Macaca mulatta: one gene and its partner. The protein of the gene in region 2 purifies or fractionates together with the protein of the main gene of each other region. This does not show direct contact. Links are inferred from orthologs where the notes say so. Each region holds a gene or a part of one and is shown on either strand. Other genes may lie near its edges.

Region 1 (3,657 bases), on a different chromosome or scaffold from region 2:
TCACCAATATATTCAAACAAGAAGGAAAGTGACTTTAACACTCCATTTTGAACATTCAGTTCAGGAACTCTGTATTCATTCATTAAGGCAGGGAGTACTGTGAAGGGTGAACATGTTTCCGCAACAATAGCTATTGCTACAGTGGTACAAACTCTGTTCTGCCTTTCTTGAACTTTGAGGTTGTTTAGAAGTGTAGCCAATACATCATGAGGGCTGAAAAAAAAAATGGGTCAACAAGCTGTTACATTATAAGTCAAAAATTTATGGAAGAAAAAATGCATAAAGATGAAAACTTTTAAATATTAATAATTACAGGGAACTCAGTAATTTTATAAAACGCAATACTTCCAAGTCACTGGCATTGTTTCTACATTAAAATTTCATATAAATTAAAAGGTCAGTTTTAAAAAGTTAACTCTGAGAAGATCAGAGGTCACAGCTGTACAAATTTTAAAAATTTTGGCCGGATGCAGTGGCTCACGCTTGCAATCCCAACACTCTGGGAGGCCGAGGCAGGCGGATCACGAGGTCAGGAGTTCGAGACCAACCTGGCCAACATAGTGAAACCCCGTCTCTACTAAAGACACAAAAATTAGCCGAGTGTGGTGGCACACACCTGTAGTCCCAGCTACTTGGGAGGCTGAGGTGGGAGAACCACTTGAACCTGGGAGGCAGAGGTTGCAGTGAGCTGAGACAATGCCATTGCACTCCAGCCTGCGTGACAGAGTGACACTCCTTCTCAAAAAAAAAAAAAAGTAAGTTAACTCAAATTAATTTTCATATGTAATTTTCAGTTTTTAAACTTTCTGAAATATAAAGAAATTTAACTAAATGTTTAAAGTGAGTAATTCTGAGTTGTCAAAATGGGCACTAGAACTAGGTAGGAGTGGTGAGGGGAATATCTGAATTGTGGTCTCCCATTATAAACCATATAAAATCTCTTTTCTTTCTTTTTTTTTTTTTGAGACGGAGTCTCGCTCTGTCGCCCAGGCTGGAGTGCAGTGGCACAATCTCGGCTCACTGCAAGCTCCGCCTCCCGGGTTCACGCCATTCTCCTGCCTCAGCCTCCCGAGTAGCTGGGACTACAGGCGCCCGCCCCTGCGCCCGGCTAATTTTTTCTATTTTTAGTAGAGACGGGGTTTCACCATGGTCTCGATCTCCTGACCTTGTGATCCGCCCACCTCGGCCTCCCAAAGTGCTGGGATTACAGGCGTGAGCCACCACGCCCGGCCATAAAATCTCTTTTCTTTTATCTTCCCTCCCACACAATTTGCTGCATCTATTTGCCTCTTCTTTGACATAAACTTAGAGGGACATTGGGGCTAAAAGCTTGCATGACAGCTATTCACTACAAATTTCTTGACTCCATCACCACTGAAATAAATATTATGCTACCAAAATAGGAGAGAAATTAGTGTGTGTTAGGGGAGGGGGTGTGGTCTGGTTAATTCTACCTAATTAATCAGACGTTCACATGTCATATTCCTTGAACACATTTTCTTAAGCCACATGGACATGTGGTGTCTCGTTTTCTTTTCTTTTTTTTTTTTTGAGACGGAGTCTCGCTCTGTAGCCCAGGCTGGAGTGCAGTGGCCGGATCTCAGCTCACTGCAAGCTCCGCCTCCCGGGTTCACGTCATTCTCCGGCCTCAGCCTCCCGAGTAGCTGGGACTACAGGCGCTGCCACCTTGCCCGGCTATTTTTTGTATTTCTTAGTAGAGACGGGGTTTCACCGTGTTAGCCAGGATGGTCTCGATCTCCTGACCTCGTGATCCGCCCATCTCGGCCTCCCAAAGTGCTGGGATTACAGGCTTGAGCCACCGCGCCCGGCCGTGTCTCGTTTTCTATAATGACTTTTTTCCTACTTTAGTTGTGATGGAATGGAAGCAAACAACCATAGATTATCTCACAAAGCAGCTATAATTCAGTTAAATCCGTGGAGTAATGTTAGAATAGCATTTTTGTTGTTTTTTTTTAGAGACAGGGTCTCGTACACTGGCACAATCACAGCTCACTGTAACCTTAAACTCCTGAGCTCAAACAATCCATAATACAACTTTTAAAACACATAAAGCATTAATATGAGACTTAAATGATGCTGTGAGACTAAAAATTTGCCTTAATAGTTTAAGCAATATCCTAAAAGACCAGTACACATTTTGTATTTTTCTGAAAATGGTACTGTTTCCCTCCCTGAAAACACCTAAAGTATAATTAAAGTAAATCTTAAACCCTTCCATCTATTTTAATTCAATTAAGAATTTAAGACTACAGGCTGGGTGTGGTGGCTCATGCCTGTAATCTCAGCACTTCTGGAGGCCAAGATAGGTGGCTCACTTGAGGTCAGGAGTTCGAGAACAGCCTGGCCCACATGGTGAAACCTCATCTGTACTAAAAAATACAAAAATTACCTGGGCGTGATGGCGCATGCCTATAGTCCCAGCTACTGGGGAGGGTGAGGCAGGAGAATCTCCTGAACCCGGGAGGTGGTGGTGGGTGCAGTGAGCTGAAATCAAATCACTGCATTCCAGCCTGGGTGACAGAGCAAGACTCCGTCTCAAAAAAAAAACAAACACACAAATTGAATTTAAGAATACATTCCAAAAATCAGAAGGTCAATGGTTAAATGAAGAGCTTTCTCAACTGCATTATTCAGACCATGCCTCAAAAGAGATTTCTACATGAAGTATTTTTCAACACCACAACGAATTTATTATAATTTTTTTTTTTAATGGAAGTAAGTGACACTCACCCAATGGCCTTTGCAATATAACCAAATGTGTTGACTGTGGCTCTACGAATAGCCTTTTTGTGGGCTTTTAAGAGCTCTAAAAGCTCAAAGCAAATCCTCATCCACTCTCTTGCAGACACATATTCAGCTCCCCTAATTTAAAAAATACACATATTATTTGTGACATTAGGAAAAGTTTTAAGGATAAATTTGCAAATTCAGTTCTAAAAACATGATTGTTAACTCATTTTAAGCATTAAATAAGAGTTATTCCTCTTCAGAAAGGCTGAAGAGTTAGTCTTACAGGTTTAGTCCTAAAATTACATGGCCACCCCATTACCATCCAAATTGAAATTTGACTGAAAATATTAATACTAGACAGCCTAATCATATACACTTATATTAGTGACATTAAGAAAATTTTGCTAATTGAATACAAAGTGGCCAAATTTGAAAATTGATACTGCTTATAAAAATGTGTGGGTAATCTGCTTACCTGTCAGCAATACGCCCAACAAGATCAATACAATTCTCTTGTACTTTTTCATGTCTGTTCTTTAAGATGGGGGTGAGTCTAGGCAGCAGATCTTTAATTGGTGGAGTCATCTTATGCATACCTATTTAATAGAAGTCAATAAACTATCAACATCTGAATTGCAACTTTTGTTCACTTTCCTTTTACTTAGCAACGTTATATATGACTATGCATAAATATAAACTTACAGCTGCCTATGGAAAGAGAAAGCCGCGGATTCTGACCAGACTCAGAATCGTTTTTAACTTTTATTAACAATTTTTGATTATGTATAGAAATGAAAGAAATCAGTGAAGTGATTTAAAGAATGATGGATACTCAATAACAAAAAAGTTTTGTTTGGTTCTGAAATGTATTTGTGCACTGACATTTAAATATGGGGACAGCTTATG
Region 2 (2,701 bases):
CGGTAAGTATAATCTCGTGGTGGTGGTGCATAATCTCTAGTATCACGAGAACTTGGGTAATCTCTGCTTGAATAGCTACAAACACAAAAGTTTTGGTTCATGCTTTTGATAAGCTTTCCTTCAACCTTAATTATTAATTTAAAAAGCTGCAATTTTCTATTACCTGTCTTTAGTAGAATACCCATCATCTCTTGGGGACAAATAAACATCTCTACGAGAGGGCAGTGGCTCCCTTCGAGGTGGACCTCCGTAACTATCTCTTCCACGTGATACAGGAGCTTAAGGAAAATTACATCACTTTTTTTAAACACAGTCAGAGAAAGAAGTTAAAACGTGAACTTACATTCAGGCTATGAAAACGAGACTGACTTCAAAGATGACATTACGGAGGCTAGATCATCTCATTTTTTCTAGAATTTCCGATTCACATTTTAAATTTTTTTCAGTGCTAATTCCATTTATCTAGATCACCTAGAACACATGACCAAAATTTTTTTTTTTTTTTTTTGAGATGGAGTCTCGCTGTCACCCAGGCTGGAGTGCAGTCCTGTGATCTCGGCTCACTGCAACCTCCGCCTTCTGGGTTCGAGTGATTCTCCTGCCTCAGTCTCCGGAGTAGCTGGGATTACAGGCACCCTCCACCGTGCCCGGCTAATTTTTGTATTTTTAGTAGAAACAGAGTTTCACCATGTTGGCCAGACTAGCGTCAAACTCCAGGCCTCGTGATCCGCCCACCTCAGCCTCCCAAAGTACCAACATTACAGGTGTGAGCCACCGCGCCCAGACTCCACAAATAAAGCTAGGGGGGTGTGTGCGTGCGCGTGCGTGTGCGTGTGCGTGTGTGTGTTTTGAGAGGGAGTCTCTCTGTTGCCAGGCTGGAGTGCAGTGGCATCATCTCGGTTCCCTGCAACCTCCGCCTCCCAGGTTCCAGCAATTCTCCCGCCTCAGCCTCCCAAGTAGCGGGGATTACAGGCACCCACCCTATGCCCAGCTAATTTTTGTATTTTTTTAGTAGAGACAGGGTTTCACCACATTGGCCAGGATAGTCTCAATCTCTTGCCTTGGCCTCCCAAAATGCTAGGATTACAGGCATGAGACACCACGCCCAGCCAATTAAACTTTTAAGCATCATTTACCTCTCAATTCTTTGTTACAGTAGTAGCACAGATTGTCATACATGGAACATTTACCTCTCCCTCCCATTCCACTGCTACTGCGAACTGGTCCTGAAGGTGCAGATCTCTTGGGAGGAGGACCCCCACTTCTTGGTGGTGGTCCTCTTTTTACTGGGAGTGGTCCCCTGGAAGAACTCATGTTAAAATTCATGGAATATCCACCGTCATCTACATCAAGAATAGAAAAGAAAAATATTACTACTCACAAGAATCAAGAAAGATATGAGAGTTTTTTTTTGATACGGAGTCTCGCTGTCGCCCAGGCTGGAGTGCAGTGGCGGGATCTCAGCTCACTGTAACCTCCGCCTCCTAGGTTCAAGCAATTCTCCTGCCTTAGCCTCCCGAGTAGCTGGGATTACAGGTGTGCGCCACCATGCCCAGGTAATTTCTTGTATTTTTTTTTTTTTAGCAGATACAGGATTTCACCATGCTGGCCAGGCTGGTCTCGAACTTGACCTTGTGATCCTCCTGCCTCGGCCTCCCAAAGTGCTGGGATTGCAGGCGTGAACCACCAAACTCGGCCACTACAAAATTTCCTTTGCTTCATGAAGAATATGACCATTAGGCCGGGCACAATGGCTCAGGCCTGTAATCCCAGCACTTTGAGCGGCCGAGGCAGGCAGATCACCTGAGACCAGGAGTTCAAGACCAGCGTAACATGGTGAAATCCTGTCTCTACTAAAAATACAAAAATCCAGGTGTGGTGGTGCATGCCTGTAATCCCAGCTACTCGGGAGGCGGAGGCAGGACAATCACTTAAACCTGGGAGGAAGAGGTTGCTGTGAGCCAAGATCGTGCCACTGCACTCCAGCCTGCGCAACAAGAGCTAAACTCTGTCTCCCAAAAACAAACGAACGAACAAAAATGACCATTATTAATTTGGCTAGTCTAGTTTCACTTGTACTTGACGGAACATGCAGTGCAGTTATATAGACTGGGGAAGTAAGAACTGAAGGTAGTCTTAAACTTTTTTTTTTTTGAGGAGTCTCACTCTGTTCCCCCAGGCTGGAGAGTACAGTGACACGATCTCGGCTCACTGCAACCTCCACCTCCCGAGTTCAAGTGATTCTTCTGCCTCAGCCTCCTGAGTAGCTGGGATTATAAGCGCCCACCACCATGCCCAGCTAACTTTAAAAAATAAAAATGGGCTGGGCGCAGTGGCTCAAGCCTGTAATCCCAGCACTTTGGGAGGCTGAGGCTGAGGCGGGTGGATCACGAGGTCAGGAGATCGAGACTAACACGGTGGAACCCCGTTTCTACTAAAAAATACAAAAAACTAGCCAGGCAAGGTGGCGGGCGCCTGTGGTCCCAGCTACTCAGGAGGCTGAGGCAGGAGAATGGCGTAAACCCGGGAGGTGGAGCTTGCAGTAAGCTGAGATCCCGCCACTGCACTCCAGCCTAGGTGAAAGAGCGAGACTCCATCTCAAAAAAAATAAATAAATAAAAGAAAAATGATTTCATTTTCATGTCCAACACCTTGGCTTATCAATTTTTAAATGCCTTTCCTACAGAGTAAACTACTTGGA

The links. The genes of interacting proteins can lie anywhere in the genome.
Region 1: the proteins of RBMX (region 2) and SF3B1 fractionate together in Homo sapiens (co-fractionation; 3 studies listed by BioGRID and IntAct, with this or other methods). This does not show direct contact. The link is inferred for Macaca mulatta from reciprocal best matches to the Homo sapiens genes RBMX and SF3B1.

Annotation. Positions count from the first base shown.
Region 1 is NC_133417.1:102,334,121-102,337,777, forward strand, and holds part of SF3B1 (splicing factor 3B subunit 1), read right to left. Parts: intron 3,348-3,657; coding exon 3,227-3,347; intron 2,884-3,226; coding exon 2,752-2,883; intron 214-2,751; coding exon 1-213. UniProt on the Homo sapiens protein: Component of the 17S U2 SnRNP complex of the spliceosome, a large ribonucleoprotein complex that removes introns from transcribed pre-mRNAs.
Region 2 is NC_133426.1:143,218,579-143,221,279, forward strand, and holds part of RBMX (RNA-binding motif protein, X chromosome), read right to left. Parts: intron 1,344-2,701; coding exon 1,191-1,343; intron 279-1,190; coding exon 164-278; intron 76-163; coding exon 1-75.